4 linked regions of the Mus musculus genome follow. The protein of the gene in region 2 interacts with the protein of the main gene of each other region in a pairwise test. Links are inferred from orthologs where the notes say so. Each region holds a gene or a part of one and is shown on either strand. Other genes may lie near its edges.

Region 1 (4,109 bases), on a different chromosome or scaffold from region 2:
TAGGCAGAGGCTCCACCCTGTCCACGACCCAGCCTCTCACCACGGGACTCTAGGCAAGTGGGAGGGGTAGGCTCTAGCCCTGAACCCACACAGCTGGGTTTGATCCCCACTTTATCACACCTATGATATCTGTGGGTTCCTCAGACTCTAAGTGCTCAAAAATCAGAAGCCCCCAAACCTGCTTCAGTGACACCTGCTTCCCCCCACACACCTCAAAAACACACTAATTGCCCTGGCTCATACTGGGGTATGAAAAACCTAGAGCTGTGGTCTCTGTCTTTGATACTGAGCTCTGTCTAGGGTCCTGTGTGGCTGTCACAAGGGTGAGCTCCTGGTACAGAGCAGATAGAGGCCATGTTCAGCACCCGGCAGAGCTGGGATGGCTACTGAACTTGTAAGTTCCTGGCCCAGAGCACAGACAATCTGAAATCAGGAAAGCCACTTGGGTCTGTGCTGCTCTAGGCAAGTCACTTAAGGTTTCTCTGGGTCTCAATTTCTATCTCTCAAAAGCCTGGATTTAGTTTTGTGTGTTAAGGCTCATGCAAGGAAGGTTAGAATGCAGTCAGCAAACACCTGAGGGGGCTTTCTGAAGAGGGAAGATGGCAGATGAGGCTTTTCCAAGTGTCCTTGCTGTGACAGGGCCATCCAGGCACAGGAAGTGCAGACCCGTGGTTGAGTTGGGGTGGAGTTTGGAGTAAGGTGGGGGTGTTGGGGATGGGTTGGGGGTGGTGGGAGTGTGGGAATCACTCCCAGACTGATTTTCCAGGTCTCACAGCTGCCCCCTGGGAGGTAGCTGGCCCTGTCTGGCCTCTGTCAGGGAGGTCATCACAGTGCCTCCCCCCTTACTCCAGAGACACCAACTGAAAGAGAGTCTCCGCAGTACTCAGGAACCCCAAAATTGTTGCAAGGCAAATGTTGGGGTGCATTTGTCATGGGAGTCCCAGGTGACACTCTAACTACCTAGTGGGTAAACTGAGACCCGCTCAGAGGGATGCAGGTGTCTCGCGGAGGCGCCTCTCTTCGCTTTGGCCTCTCAGATCTCTGTCGCGCGGTGCACGTATACCCCATTTTTCTCTGTCTCAGTCTCCTTCCTCTTCCTTCCAACACTTTCCCGCCACGGCATCCCTTGCGCTGGGCACCCAGCGCCGGCGCTATTCCGGAGGAATCTCCCGGCCGCAGACCACGCCCTCGCCCACGCCCGCGTCATGCCTCCCACCTCCTGGCAGAGGCTTGCTGCCATTGGCTCCTTCGTACACTGCCTGTGCGCTACCATTTGCTGAGCCAGTGAGCGTTTAGAGGGGGCGAGCCCTTTCTCGGGGGCGTGGCCTCCTAGCCAGCGGCCGGGCTCAGATCCAGCGGCCAATGCCTCTGGCCCCACAGAGGCACCTACAGAAAACTGAAGGCTTGACACATCCCGAGGAGCAGGTGAGCGATGGGGTCCTGCATTGGCTATCCTGGGTTCTTTCCGTCCCCTCCTATCCCCACACCGTCCTCTGTATATCCCGCCTCAGTTTCCTCTGTATACCTATTACTGACTGTGGGAGCATGGGTGTTGTGAGCAGGTTGCTGTGGGCTACTGTAATAGTCCTAACACATGTCCTCAAGAGGACACTTGATGGACTTGGCTCTGTACAAGTGTGCAGCCTGACTCCAGAATGGTCTAGGTATTCTCTGAGGTAGCCAGCTGGACCCCACTGTGGCTCTGGCTGGTGCAGGGTTACCCTGACTGGGACTGGCACTTCAAGCTTCCCATTGCCCGAGGGCTTGAACTCAGTTTTACCATCTGGGAACTGGGACAGTGGCTGTCACATAATTGGCAGGTGACCTGATCCAGGTCTGCAGCCTCCTGGCTCTTTCAGTGTTGGTTTGGAGGATAAACTGGGGTCCAGAATATGGGCTGCGGATGGCCAGAGAGATGGAGACACTGTCTCCAGAACCATATTCTGGTTTGTCACCTTTGTGAGCAGCGGGGCTGGAGAGGGACAGGGTGGAACACTAAACTGGAAACAGGCCTCTGGGTCACTTCCCGAGCTCCAGGCTGTGACGCCTCTGAACACCTTGCCTTGGGGTTAGGACACAGCTCAGACAAACCTGACTCACTTGAACAAGTAACTTAATTATAAGCCTCAGTTTCCCTGTCTGACTTGGGACAGTTGTTTCGTGACTCCCTGAGGCTTCTTGGGGGTGCTTAAACAGACAAAAGAGAGGCTGAGCCAGGGTGGGCTACACACCGAGGCTGTCTCTAAAACAAAAGGGACCCTAGGGTGTAGCCCAGTGCGTAGAGTGCTCACCTAGTAAGCAAGAGGCCTTGGGTTCCGGCCCAAACACAACATATACCAGGACATTTACCCATTTACCCAGTGCTTAGAATAGAGGCAGGTGGATGCCTGTAAGTTTGAGGCCAGGTCTACAAAGTGAGTTCCAGGCTAGCCATAACTATGTATAGAGATCCTGTAACAAACAACAGCCAACAGAGAAAGAGAGAGAGAGAGAGAGAGAGAGAGAGAGAGAGAGAGAGAGAGAGAGAGAGAGAACAGGAATGTAGGCTTTGAGTGCCAAACTTCCTGTTTTTCTGTCCTGGGACCTCAAAGTGGCCGCCTCTTCTCCACATGGAATGTCCTTGCACTTGAGACCTTTGTGCGTGCTGAGCCCTCTACAACCCTGGCAGATCAACACAGGCAGCGACAACTTTAAAACATAATAAGTTCATGATCTGGGCCGCACCTAGGATGTGGGTGACTGGGAGGGATGAGGGCGGGGCCATGGGGACTGTACAATGTAACAGAACAAAGAGAGTCATCACAGAACACCTGCCCTGGGCCTTCCCACACATGGTGAGCCAGACTTGGGCCAGGGCTGCTAGTTCCGTAATGGGTGAGTGGTGGATCCTGAGGGTATGAAGAGACATAGAGACTTGTCCCTCAGTTTACTCTCTCAGCCCTAGGCAAGCTAGGACTCACCTCACAAAAATCTGATTCCGTATGAGGGGACTCAGCATACAGGCCAAATAATCATGGCCACAGGAAGGCGTGCCACCCACTGACTCAGGTGCCATCCAGGGCTTAGTGGAGGCTTAAAGAGAGTGAGACTTGATCCGGGGGCCCAGTGAGCTCACTCCTCCAAGAACCCCAGTGTCTCCCCTGCATGGTTTTTCTGAGCCCCAACCCTGTGTTTCCCCATGTGGAAACCAGCGGAGGTAACCACTCCAGAGGGTGCTGTGCAGGTGGGGTCTTCTGTAGTCCTGACCAAAGAAAGAACCGTGGTAGGGTTGACCGTGTGCATAGCTCTGGAAGATTCCCAGACTAGATCATTAGGCTCCCAAATTTTAGGGTGGACCCCAGGGAAAGGTTGTAATGCAATGAGCTTCCAGGTAAGGGCTGGATTCAAGTCCCAGTTCTAGCCTGGTGTTATTCTGTGCATATCTGTCAGCTCCCAGGCCCCTGACTCAGTTTCTCCTTTTGTCATAACCATGAGAAGTTACTTAGTCATTTGATAAACTGTCCCTGAACACTGAGATAACTGAAGTGTGGTAGCTAATGTCGCCAGCACACAGCAGTGACTGAAGCTGGCCCAGTGCCCACCATCCTCCTGCCTCACAGTTGGTAATGCTGGACTCTGTCCTGAACTATAATAGTAACTGTAAGAAGAGGAAGGAACCGGGGAACTGAGTGTTCGTGGAGAGATCTGAGAGTTCCAGGGTAAAACAGCCACATAGCAACCTGAGGAAGACTATTGTAAGTGCCGGGCTCAGCATGTGTAAAGGTCCTGGGGCAGGACTGAGCCTGGTGTTCAAGAGGTGAATGGAGGAGGCACTGTGGCTGCAGCAGAGGGAGATGGGACCATGGAGGGATGAGGGCAGAGAGGGGAGCGAACTCAGTGCTCACAGGGGCTTCTGGCATTTCAGGAATCCTGGATAGGGTGAGAGGAACCAGGATGGAGGCTTCAGACCGTTGGAAATGGAAGAAGCCAATACATCCTGGGGCTGAATGTGCACACTGATAACCTTCATATTTCCCTTTTGTTAAAACCATGAGTGGATGTTGGGCGTGGTGGGACACACCTAAGAGGCTGGGCCAGGAGGATCATGGTAAATCCAAAGGTAGCCTGGG
Region 2 (4,127 bases):
GTTGTTTTGTTACTTTTTAGATATGGCCTTACTCCGAAGCTCAGGCATTTAAAGTCATTATTTACTATGGCTGCTTGCTTACTTTCTAATGTGTGCGCAGAGGTAATAGGACCACTTGCAGGGGTTCTTTCTCATACTGTATGTGTCTAAGGATTGAATTTACATAGCTAGGCTTACAGGCGAGTACCTTAATTCCCACTATGTCATCCATCTTTTAGGTCCTTGTAGCTCAAGTTTCCTGAATATTTTCCATTTAGTTGGTTGACCCGGTGATTTGGAAATCCAGATACAAAAGGCTGACTGCATTGTAATATAAATGTTATTGAAAGTGGCTAAGCCGGGCAGTGGTGGCACACGCCTTTAATCCCAGCACTCGGGAGACAGAGGCAGGCAGATTTCTGAGTTTGAGGCCAGGCCTGGTCTACAACGTCAGTTTCAGGACAGCCAGAGCTACACATAGAAACCCTGTCTCGAACCCCCCTCCCCCCGCCAAAAAAAAAAAAAAAGAAAAAAAAGAAAAAGAAAAAGAAAAGAAAAGAAAGAAAAAAAGAAAAGAAAAAGGAAGTGGCTAAAGTTATTTAATTTTTAAAAAATGTGTCTGCTAGAAGACTTTACCCTATATACATGATGCGCACATTTCTAGTCTCTCCAGAATACTTTTCTGGGGTCTAGCACATACCCCTACTCCATTTGATTGCATGGAATAACACAAACTAAAAGATACACTGCCTAATTGTTGAAAGAGGAGATGCTGTCTCAGACTTGCGTTAGGAAAATGGTAACCTTTTTCCTCTAGAACTGGGAGGATTTGATTCTAGTCAAGTCATTGGAAGCAACGTGTTGTGTCTTAGATAAGCCACGAGGCTGTTTTGGGCGTGAATTTGTCCTTCAGGTATTTGGTATCTGAGGTCTGCACGTTTATGATAACTTTCCCCGGAAAGCCCGGTGCAATGGAACGCGTCTTCGGTTTGACACTAGCCCGAGGGACGGGAGGCGGGAGTCAGCAGTCACAGCCCGGAACCTTAAACTAGGGACCCGGGCCGCGGGCTTCTCCGGCTCACGTCACTAGGGCGCGACGCCTACTCTTCCAGAAGCCCCGGCACATGAGGTCCCACGGTGAAGTCGAGTTCCGGGACAATAAGACACATCACTCTTGAGTCCCCAGGAGGTTTGGATCTCAGCATCCCTGTCCTAGGTTGACCACCACAGGGCACAAGGCCCGGAAGCTCCGACAGCCCCTCCAGGAACCTGTAGAACTGAGTATCAGAGCGGCTGCGCAGGGCACGTGCTCATCCTCCCCGGAGTGCCGGCGATTGGCTGTGACGCAACTTCCGGCGTGAGCGGCGAAAGCCGGGAGGGCGAGCGAGAGAGCAAGCAGCCAGCAGGCGGGCGGGCGGGTGGCCGGCCGGCACGGAGGGAGGGGACGAGCAAGCGGTGAGCAAGCCAGCGAGGGTGCCCGGGTCCCGAGGGCAACGGAGATTCCTCAGGCCCCTCCGGTGCCCTCCCCGGAGCCCAGAGCACCTCCGGCACCCAGCGGAGCGGACACGGCCCGGCCTGGCCATGGCCTCGTTGCTGAAGGTGGATCAGGAAGTGAAGCTCAAGGTAGCGGCATAGCTCCGGCCCCCTCATCCCTCCCTTCGAACCCCCAGCAGTCGGATCTGCTCCCCACTCCCTATGTCGTCTTTGTCTCCCTGGGGACACCAGCTCTGAGCTTCCGCCTGGCTCAACCCAGCCCCCCACGCCTGGAGACGGCATTGGAGAGGACCGTATAGGGTGGCTTTCTGTCCTGCTTCTGGTGATGGAGTGCACCAGGGACTCCTCCGCGGACACGTGTTAAACTCAATGCTTTAGGCTAATGACAGGTGGAAGTCCCCTGGCCCAGCCACGTCCCCGCCCCCGGACGCTGCCACTGACCCTGCCCTTGGAGGCTGGCTTACTGCGTAGGATGGGGCCAGGTCTGGGTGGGAGTTGGCACGTTTGTGAGCTCACTTCTTCCAGTCTGGCTTTTGTCTGCTTATGAAATTGAGAGGGTTTTAGACAACTGGAGGGAGGGACAAAGGGAGGTGAGGGGTGGGTAGGAAGGGAGAGAAGGGGAGACAGGTGCTGGCCTGTAACCCGAACATCCTCTCCCGAGATGGAGAAATGGATCTTGAAAAAGATGAAGTATTTGCAGTCTGGGGGCCTCTCACCTTCTAATTATAATTTCAAGGTGAGGGCGAGACAGCTGGATTTGGGGTTCCCCATCCATGCCCTTGTATCACTAGGTGTTAAGTTGCTCTCTCTGTTCATTGTAGGTTGATTCTTTCAGAGAGCGGATCACAAGTGAGGTGAGTGTTGTAAAGGAGAAAAGTGGTGATGGTTAATAGCTGGGGGTGTCCCCAAAAGATCTGTAGTGAGGGACTGTCCCACGTTTATTAATTCAGGTGTATTCTCTCTGTCTAGGCAGAAGACTTGGTGGCAAATTTTTTCCCAAAGAAGTTACTAGAACTTGATAGTTTTTTGAAGGTGAGAGACACTTTTGTTTCTTTAAATTACTTCTTTGGTCCCTGTCTTTGTGACAGGCGGGGCAGATTGTGTGTTGATTCTGTTCTCTTGTGTACTGTAAAGCATTCTTTTTTTTCTTCGATTTCACAAGAAATACTCCTCTCTCTCTCTCTCTCTTTCTCTCTCTCCTTGTTTTTGATTTTGTTTTAAACTTACACTAATACTGTTTTGGGGTGAATGCCTCTCTTTCAGGAACCAATTCTAAATATCCATGACCTAACTCAGATCCACTCAGACATGAACCTCCCAGTCCCTGACCCCATTCTCCTCACCAATAGCCACGATGGACTGGATGGTGTGAGTGTCTTGCATTTATGTTTGTGTTCTTAGTATTTTATGTTTTGGTAAGCTTGGGGATGTCCGGAGTATGTGGGATTTGCCTGTGGGGTCTGGGGTTCTGTTGTAGGTGTGGTGATTGTAGGATGCTACTTTTTGGACCATTAGTTTCAGTTTTGGCAAGGTAAGTTATGTTAGTGCTGCTCTCAATGTTAGCCCAGGTTTTCATTAGTTCTAAACTAGCCACAGGCTTCCTTCAGCTACCTGGCTTTCCGCCTGCTTGGGAATAAGCCTTTTCTGTTCAGTGTGCTGTGCTCACAGATGGGAGGAACAGCTGGTTTTGCTGCACAGCTGCAGTCTCTGTCTTTACTTGCTCTTTGCTTTGTTTTTGAGACAGCATCTGACTATGTAGCCCTGGCTAGCTTGGAACTCCTTATGCAGGCTAGGTAGACCAGGTTGGCTTCAGACTCATTAAGATCTGCCTGCCCTGCCATCTAAATGCTAGGCTATTGCCAGCTGGCACTGATAGTGTATTAGTTGCATGTCTGTATTGTGTTAGAACGCCGCCTATGCTATAGTTTGATCTAGATTCCTGTGGCTTGGTATTTTGTTGCTGTTGCTTGGTTTTTTTTTGTTTTGTTTTGTTTTTTCTGTCCTAGAAGTTGAGCCTAGGGTCTTGTGCATGCTATATAAATGCTGTACCGGGCTGTTGAGATGGCTCAACGGGTAAAAGCACCGACTGTTCTTCTGAAAGTCATGAGTTCAAATCCCAGCAACCATATGGTGGCTCACAACCACCCGTAACAAGATCTGACGCCCTCCTCTGGTGTGTCTGAAGACAGCCACAGTGTATTTACATATAATTTTTACATATAAGATTTATTTACATATAATAAATAAATCTTAAAAAAAAACTATAAATGCTGTACCACTGATTTATATTCCTAGCTTTCAGGACTTTCTTAATTATAACTAATTAAGCCGAGTACGGTGGCTGAGCATTCAGCTTGCCTGGAGAAGGAGAATTGTGTGTTCATGACCAGCCTGGGATACATAGGAAGTTGAAGGCTAGCTGGGACACATACTGGGATACTTTCTTTAAAAATCAAGATAAACCTGCAGTTAGGAGACGCCTCAGTAGTCTGAATCCTTAGCTCCTAACATTACTTCTACCATATAGAAGGTAATGGGCTGAGATTGCTGAATCAGGAATTTCTTCATATTAGAGCCAAAGGATCCATGCATACTCCCTCAGTTATCCCCTACCTGCCTTGATTGCTTTCTTCTTATTTTTGAAGTGGAACTTT
Region 3 (4,033 bases), on a different chromosome or scaffold from region 2:
CATGCATCAGTACTCCTCGTACATAATTGAATAGAACTCATAAAAACTAATGGTGGCTATTATTTATTCTTTACCATGTTCTAAATACCATGTTAGATTCTTTTTTATGTTACCACAACCTCTCTAGGAAAGAATCCAAAAAGGTAGATATTACCATTTTCACCTATGAATACTGTGGTTGAAAGCTTAGAGACTGTTCCCAAAGTCACGTTACACACAGGTTTGGTGAAGTTCAGGGTTCACATACAGGCTTATCTGAAGCATTCGTATAAAAGATAGGCAAGATTTATCCCATATATGAGACAAAACAATACTTAATCTCAAATAGCATTGGCTTGAGTGGTTTAAATTAGGTCCACCTGCTCTGCATAAATGTCAAATACTATATGATATAGTTTCCATTCCTTACGAGTTCTTGAGACTGAGGGGACACTGGAAATGAACCTGTTCAAATAAACCTAAAAGGATTCTGTGTAATATTATACTTAATTGGATAGGGTGGGGCGGGGGGGGGGGGAGACAGTATTTTTTTAAGTCTTCTGCAGGACTAAGGGTGGAGTCTAAGCTTGTTTACTGTGCTTGTGATTATGCTTTGTCTTTTGGCATATGCTTGTTTATTGTCATTCTTGTGGCTCGATTATCCGACTCTAATTTGGAAAATATGTTTTCAACATCTTAAGAACTTTTGTAAAGCCGGGATGTAGCTCAGCGATAGAGCACTTGACTAGTATGCACAAAGCCCTGGGTTTGAGTTCTAACGCTGTAATTAATCCTGTAAAGAACCCATAAATAAAAGTCTTAGGAACACCTGCAAGGCACTTTTCAAAAGCTGTATTTCATTCATTTAATTTTGGATTTGCATCTGTAGGAAGAGAATGCATATCTAAGCTGTAAAATATATATACATCGAGGGACTGGAGAGATGTTTCAGAAGTTAAGAGCACCACTGGCTGTTCTTACAGAGAACTTGGGTCCTTCTCAGCACCAGCATCAGGTCACTGATAGCCACGGTTAACTCCACTTACAAGGGACTTGAGGCTCTCTTGCGGTCTCTGAGGGCACTGCATAATATGATGTGCATATATAGACTCAGGCCCACACATACACATAAAAAAAATAAACATATCTATCACTAAATAACTTTTTTGTAACTTTAAACTTTGTACTGAAAAACAAAAGATCACTGCATGCCTGAGAAGAAGGAAGAGGAAAAGGACATAGTACTTGGGAAAGGGGCATTGAGAGGTCAGTTAAGAACAGTACCTTGCTTTTGGAAAGGGGAGAGACAGAGAGACAGAGAGAGAGAGGGGGAGGGAGGGGAGGGAGGGAGGGAGGGAGGGAGGGAGGGAGAGAAGGAGAGAGGGAGAGAGAGAGAGAGGGAGAGAGAGAGGGAGGGAGAGAGGGAGAGAGACTATGGCTGCACAACACTCACTGATTCATTGTGGGGAACTCTGGATGGTAACCCAGAGCAAAATAAACAAGGAGCACTACTGAAGTTCTGTTGGTAAACTTCTCCCATTTATTCCACCAAAACATGATATTTTTGCTTAATGCAGCCTTTTTATAAAGCTTAAATATAATCAATGGAAGGTTAAACCCATTGGTTCTTCCTACATTTACTCTGAGTTATTATAGATGAATTGTCTACAACTTAAACTTTGAAGACTGAGTTTTAAATGAGTGTTTTTCAGAATATAAACCTTGTAAGGAAAAGGACAGAATGGTGGAGAATGTAGGACAAGCAGACAGTAAAGAAGAGCTGGGCTGCAAAAGAGATGTGAAAAAAAATCTACAATTTCACACACACACACACACACACACACACAGAGGTCACAACTCAGTGACCTTTCCCTTATGCGCTAGAATTCTGTGGCCTATTATGCAAAAAAGAAGTTTTACATACAAAATTAAGTTATATTTTTCGTGCTGGCATCTCATTTAATTACTAAAACGAAAAGGCTCATTATAACCTCTTTTTCAACAATATTAGAGATAACCTATTAAAATAGATCCCAGAGAACAAAACACCAAAGGGTAGAAATCATTAGGAGGTAGATTTTTAAAGTAAAGAAACTAGATAAAAAAATCTTTCAATTTTTGATAATCAGTAATTACTTAGTTGACCATGAAATCTGAGATGGAAAGAGATACAAACGATTGAGACAGCTGACAATCTCTTCCCAAGAACAAACTAAATGGGAACCCTCATCAGCCAGAATGGGGAAGAAATGTCCTTGTGGCCTCTCCACATCACTTTTGCCCTGCATTCGGTCCTTTGTTCCATCTGTCTGTCACCTTTTCAAACTCTGCACCATCCACTTGTCACGCTAGTCTCCACAGCCACCCGTGCAGATCGTCCCACAAAACTTCCTCTCAGGTCTGTCAGTCTCACTTAAACCCTTCCAGGGTTCTCCTACACTGTGGGACGCCAGGTGCCTGCACAGAGGCTGGCAACTGGGTAGTGGATCACTGTGCCATCTGGTCTCCCGGGGAGCAAAGAGCGGCGGGGACAGAATTACAGAATCCGGAGGAGTCTGTCTCCATACCACCCTCCCATCCCAGAAGGAACCCGGGGTACAGTCTGCACTCACAGCGCACGGTGTGGAAGGCACAGCGCGGCTGCTTCTCGAAACTTTCGCCTAGCTTGAGAACCCGCTCGCGACGGTCCAGGTATGCAAGTCCCGCTGGTCCACTCATCCTCGTCCCCTGCCTCCCGCTTTTGGCCTTCGCCGTCCCCTGCCACAGCCTCTGGAACAGCTGCACTGGCTGCGAGCTTGAGTTCGGTGCCCGGGACCAGCTCCTTTCACCTCCAGACGCGTGCGGCCGCCCCTTGGAGCGCCCCGAGTCTTGATTGGCTGTCTGGAGACACCTGCCCCGCCCCTCGCCCCAGGGCCCCGCCCCGCCCCTGGCCACCATCCCCGCCCCTAGCCCCCTTCCCGCGTCGCGACGCACACAGCTCGGCGGAGACCGCCTCGCTGAGGTACGCTGTGCGGGTCGGGCCCTGAGGTGGACGGACGCGGGGAAAGAGATGAGGTAACAGACCCGAGATGGCGGCTGGGATGGAGGAAAGGCCCTAGGGGGGCGGGGAAGCTAGGACGCCAGACACCCAGGGCAGAACTGCCTGGCGGGGCCTGGTAACGGGAGCGTGGGCCTCCTCCGCGCCGGGCCCGCAGGTTTGGTGTGGAAACGGACGCCTGACGAGAGGTGGCGGCCGGGCCCAGGCCTGGGGCCTCCTGAGGCCTAGCTGCTCTGAGGCGGGTCTGGAACCCCAGCCGCGCCCCCTCAGGTGATGTGACCAGACTGGAAACCTCTGGAAGCCGCGCAGTTACCTTTAAGGGCCGTTCATTTATTTATTTTTTCTTCTTTCTTTCTTTCTTATTTATTTATTTATTTATTTATTATTTTTTAATTAGCCCTTTAAAAACACAGGCTTTTCCCGCCGGGGTTAGGACCTGAGGAGGGGGCGTTTCCGGAGGCGACGGAGAAGCCTAGGGTTAGGGGTAACTGACTGCTGTACGTTTGTTTCTGGCATTTGTTTCTGTAGTGATTCCTGGAAGCACTGAAGAGCGCGGCCTTGGGACTCTTGATTTCTCAGAGATCAGTCTAGCAGTAGGGTAAGAGCGTCAATTGATTGATAATTGCCTTCACACACACACACACACACACCCCACCTCACAGAAGTGTTATGAAGTAGGAGAAAGCGTGCTTTGTATTGGAGGATTATTCAGAGAAAGTCTACAGTGAGCCCCCTCAGGTGATTCTTCAGGTTAATTGTGGCATCAGACTATGCTTTCAGCACTTCTACCTTAAATAGGTTTGTCAATTTATTTTTTTCAGATGGATGAGGGATTATTTTTTGCCTTCTACCCTTTAAAGATACAAGGAGAGATTGTTCAATGTATTTATGCACGAAGGTTCTGAAGCCAGAATCTCTGGGCTTGTACGTCAGCTTCATACTCTCAATGTGATTTTTGTGCAAGCAAATCAAACAAATGTGTTTATCATTAGAATTGGGGAAATAATAATAGCTATG
Region 4 (4,137 bases), on a different chromosome or scaffold from region 2:
GCAAGCTCTGAATGCAAACAGGTCACTGGGCACCCACCACATCTACTCAAAACCAGGGCATCACCTGAACCTGAGTCAACTAGATGAAATACATGCACAACATCCCAATCCAGACACACACCCTCCTCAAGTCTTCAATGCTCTCATATGAGGTAGGTGACCCAAACCAAACCACTGCAACAACAGAAAACACGCTGCTAGCCTAGCAGAGAAGGCAATACGTACCCTGGCTGTGTAGTCCAAGGGTGCTCAAGCTGGACAGCTGAACATATGAGACTGCCCAGCCAGGGTGGAGGTCTTTAATACTCTCCTCTTCCCCTTTCAGTTTCTTTGTTTGTTTCTTTTTTTTTTTCTTTTTTTTTTAGAAGAGACTATTGTTTTTCTTATCTGCTTTGCCACACCCTTTCAGTTTCACTTACTGAGGGGTTTCCTAGAAATCACTCAGGTTCCCAAAAGCATTTGAGCCATTTGCCCAGCTTTCTTCAAGAGCAAGTCCAGCCACTGGCTAGCTACTTGGGCCGTGGGAGGAGGCGGCTGAGGCCAACCAAACTCTCAAGAGCCCGGAGCTACTTGTCATTGCATTGCATCAGCTGTCCCTTTCTTCAGGTTGACCGCCATATGACCTCCCCACCCTCTTCCTTTCCCGCCCCCACAGCATCATTGCAATTGTGTGTAGTGTAGCGACAAATAGGACGGGCATATCGCTTTGTACATCACTGCCTTCCCGAAGCAGCCTTGCTCTGAAGTTGTGCACTGCAGCGGAAAGATAGGCTTTTAATGTTGGACATAGAGCTTGGTGTGCTATCATAAAACCGTGGGCAAGTAGCGTTCCTTCTCTGCTTCTCTTTAGGATTCCTCATCTGTGAAACGGGCACCAGGGGCTTTACAAACACTTCGTACAGGGCAAAGAGATCCTACAGGGCAAAGCCCAGGCGGTGGGAAACGATGACAGGCTGGGTGGGCGGCGCCGCCGCAGCCTCCCGGTCCCTCGTGGTACAGGTGCCCAGAGAACAGACAGCCCGGTTCCGAGCTGGATCCTCGGGGCGCGGCGCCGGGGCGTCAACCGAAGGCCCCGGCGCCACCTCGGCATCCCTCCCTCGCTCCCGGCGCAGTGACCACCCCCTCCTCACTTACCGGCGGCCCCCACTTCGGCCCCACCAGTCAGCACCCCCAAGTTCAGCCACCGGTACCTCTTGGGCGTCCGTGGAAACACCAGCCGGCTGGAATAACTTCCGGTCTCGGCATGCCGCTATTGGCTGTCCAGGCAGAGGAGGGCAGAGACCATCTCCGATTGGCTGAAATTGCTGGCGTCGTGGTGGAACGCGACTGGGCGGCCCGAGTGCTGGCCGGACCGTTGTAGGGGTGGACCAAGAGCTTCCGTGTGTGTGTGTGTGTGGTGAGCGGCGGGCCCGGGAGGGAGGGGGCCGGGATGTGGCGGCCGCATGCTTCTCGCTTCTTAGCGCCGGGCTCAGCTCGCCGCTTGCCTTCCTGTTCTTCCCGTTCATTCCTAGAGTGCTGTGCTCTGAACTCTTTACCCATTAGTGTTGACAGCTTGGCTAACTTACTCATCCTTCAAAACCCGTGTCTGTTTTTTGTTTCCCATCCTGTATCCATGGCCTCTGGGGCAAGATCCGTGTGAATTTCTACCCACATCAGATCTATCATAGTGCCTAACACAGAGTAGGAAACTAGGACCCGTGTGTTGAACGGGAAAATTCTGTCTTTAACTTTCCCAGTTCCCTGCCCCATCACCTTGCTGTCTGCAAATTCATCCAGATTGAGGCTTCTTGGACAGTGAGCTAAGCACACAGGACACCCTGCCCCATGTATCCGTGCTCCCTTTAGCTTTTCAGTATTCGACTTCAGTCCTCAGTCCTCTTTTTCCCCCATTTAGCCTCTTCCTCTTGGTTTCACCTCCCCCCCCCCCCCTTTCTCATGGCATTTTTTGGACTTGGGTACAAGATGGCTACCATCATCTCCTAAACGGTGTGCATCTCTCTCAGCCGTCTCCCTTCATATATGTTTTCTTGACTCACCCTTGACTCCTCTTCATTGGTATTGGTTCTGTTTTAGTCACAGTATTGTGAACACCTTAGTTCCCTCAACCTCTTCAGAGCGTCACACTGGTGTAGTCTCTCTGAGACCTGTCTCAGCTCCAGAAAAAGATGCAGTCTTGGGCCCAGCTACCCTGTATCCTTTTCCTTTTGAGTTCACAAGTCCACGACATCGTCTGGCTCACGAGTCAGGGATGTTTTTGTCTTTCTATGGCTTGGGAGTGTGATGAATGAAGGACATCATTTACTGTTTTGCCTACTGTGGCAGATGTTGAGTGAGAGAATGAAATCTATGTGTGGTGCATCTGGTGTCCAGTCCCTTGCTGTCGTTCATTTTCTATCCCCTGTGGAGCTGATGAGCCACACTGTCCTCAGATCTGCTATAGGCCTCTTTTGTGAGTCTACCCTGCAGATAACCGTGTAGCTTAAAACCCAGGCTGTGACCGAGCTCTATATAGTATGGTGGTGGGAATCAGATGGGTTTCATTTGAGGAACCAGGAGATTGGCCTCAACTCCCTGCTGAATATGTAGAGATCAAATTATTTGCAGAGCATGGGTCTATCTCTGTGTGGTTAGTCTCTAGTGGGATCTTAGTTTGGTTGGAGAGTGGAAAGCTGGTTTTAGAAGTCCTTTTTCGAAGATGTTTCTAAATGTGGACATTGTTACCTGCCTGGATTCAGCTGCTGGTAGGAATGATAGCTACAGGCATTGGATGATGAGCAGACTTGTATGGCAGTGGGATTCTTAGGGCAAATAATGCCATTAGGGGACAGATGTGGAAGGCTTTGAGTGGAATTTTGGAGCCCAGTGTGTGATCTGACATGGTGATATATACTTGTAATGCCAGCACTCTGAAGGCTGAGGCAGGAAGACTGGACTAAGACCAGCCTGGCTTACATAGTGAGTACTTGTAATGGGCTAGGGAGGTTCATCTGTTAAAGACACTTGTTTTGAAATCATGAAGACCAAAGTTTGGATCCCAGCACCCATGTAACAAGCCATTTCACACTTGCTTGTAACTCAACCTGTAAGAGGTCACAGACAGACTATGTCTCGAATAGATAGAAAGTGAAACAGCACAGGACTCCATCTTCTGGCCTCCTTGTATTTAGGAGAACAGGTTTGCACATTCGCATAGGCATGCATACACTTACACAGCAAACACACAAGCATAAAAAAAGAAGCGGGCTAGCTGGTCCATGGCCCAGGCTTGCACTTTGTCCCACTCCACCCTCTGCTGGCTGAGATATGCTCAGCATCCTTATTTTCTTTCTGTCTGTACTCACAGAATTAATACTGAGTTTTAGACCAAAGCAATTCTTACTGAGAACTAGCTGATAGAAATTTGTGAATGCTCAGAATTCCAGGAAAAACTTTTGAATGGAAATTTAGTACCCTGTGAACCTATGCATTTGGGGTGAAACAAACAGATTTGGATGCCATGTTTAGAATTGCTCTTGCCACAGTTGGGTTGACTGGTGACTTAGGACCCAACCTGGGCTTTGTACGTGCCCGGGCAGTACTCTGCAGTTGCTCTGTTTCTCTGGACACGGATTTTTTCTTTTTTTTTGTTTGTTTGTTTTTAGAGACAGGGTTTCTCTGTGTGACCCTGGCTGTCCTTGAACTCACTCTGCAGATCAGGCTGCCTCGAATTCAGAAATCCACCTGTCTCTGCCTCCTGAGTGCTGGGATTATAGGTGTACATCATCATCTCCAGGCTGAGGTTGTTTGTTTTTAAAGACTGGGTCTTGCCTAGGTATCCCAGGGTGTCCTTGAAGTCATAATCCTCCTGCCTCAGCATCACGAATGCTAGGCTCAAAGGTGGGTGCTGCCATACCCAGGTCCCTCTTGCCCTCGTGCTCTTTTTCTACATTCTCTTTTTTCTTCTCTTCTGCTTTGCAGTGCGGAGGGGCAAACCCAGAACCTTGCATGTGTTGACAAGAATTCTGTCAGCGAGCTTTAGCCCCAGCCCCACAGAGGTTTCCATTTAAAAAATTATCTGTAAAACCAGGAAGTGGAGGCCCAGGCCTTTAATCCCAGCACTAAGGAAGCAGAGGCAGAAGGATCTCGGTAAGTGTGAGG

The links. The genes of interacting proteins can lie anywhere in the genome.
Region 1: the proteins of Psme3 (region 2) and Tnfaip8l1 interact in binary tests that used the Homo sapiens proteins (3 or more experiments, as listed by UniProt). The two-hybrid records come from large-scale screens. The link is inferred for Mus musculus from reciprocal best matches to the Homo sapiens genes PSME3 and TNFAIP8L1.
Region 3: the proteins of Psme3 (region 2) and Eaf2 interact in binary tests that used the Homo sapiens proteins (3 or more experiments, as listed by UniProt). The two-hybrid records come from large-scale screens. The link is inferred for Mus musculus from reciprocal best matches to the Homo sapiens genes PSME3 and EAF2.
Region 4: the proteins of Psme3 (region 2) and Wdr25 interact in binary tests that used the Homo sapiens proteins (3 or more experiments, as listed by UniProt). The two-hybrid records come from large-scale screens. The link is inferred for Mus musculus from reciprocal best matches to the Homo sapiens genes PSME3 and WDR25.

Annotation. Positions count from the first base shown.
Region 1 is NC_000083.6:56,161,182-56,165,290, forward strand, and holds the start of Tnfaip8l1 (tumor necrosis factor alpha-induced protein 8-like protein 1), read left to right. Parts: upstream 1-1,309; 5' UTR 1,310-1,425; intron 1,426-4,109. UniProt on the Homo sapiens protein: Acts as a negative regulator of mTOR activity.
Region 2 is NC_000077.6:101,314,887-101,319,013, forward strand, and holds the start of Psme3 (proteasome activator complex subunit 3), read left to right. Parts: upstream 1-1,326; 5' UTR 1,327-1,560; coding exon 1,561-1,602; intron 1,603-1,704; exon of another isoform or gene 1,705-2,134; coding exon of another isoform or gene 2,135-2,209; intron 2,210-2,294; coding exon 2,295-2,327; intron 2,328-2,442; coding exon 2,443-2,505; intron 2,506-2,736; coding exon 2,737-2,841; intron 2,842-4,127. UniProt on the Homo sapiens protein: Subunit of the 11S REG-gamma (also called PA28-gamma) proteasome regulator, a doughnut-shaped homoheptamer which associates with the proteasome. 11S REG-gamma activates the trypsin-like catalytic subunit of the proteasome but inhibits the chymotrypsin-like and postglutamyl-preferring (PGPH) subunits.
Region 3 is NC_000082.6:36,825,460-36,829,492, forward strand, and holds the start of Eaf2 (ELL-associated factor 2), read right to left. Parts: upstream 2,801-4,033; 5' UTR 2,698-2,800; coding exon 2,592-2,697; intron 1-2,591. UniProt on the Homo sapiens protein: Acts as a transcriptional transactivator of TCEA1 elongation activity. Acts as a transcriptional transactivator of ELL and ELL2 elongation activities. Potent inducer of apoptosis in prostatic and non-prostatic cell lines.
Region 4 is NC_000078.6:108,892,935-108,897,071, forward strand, and holds the start of Wdr25 (WD repeat-containing protein 25), read left to right. Parts: upstream 1-1,337; 5' UTR 1,338-1,379; exon of another isoform or gene 1,380-2,955; intron 2,956-3,957; exon of another isoform or gene 3,958-4,125; intron 4,126-4,137.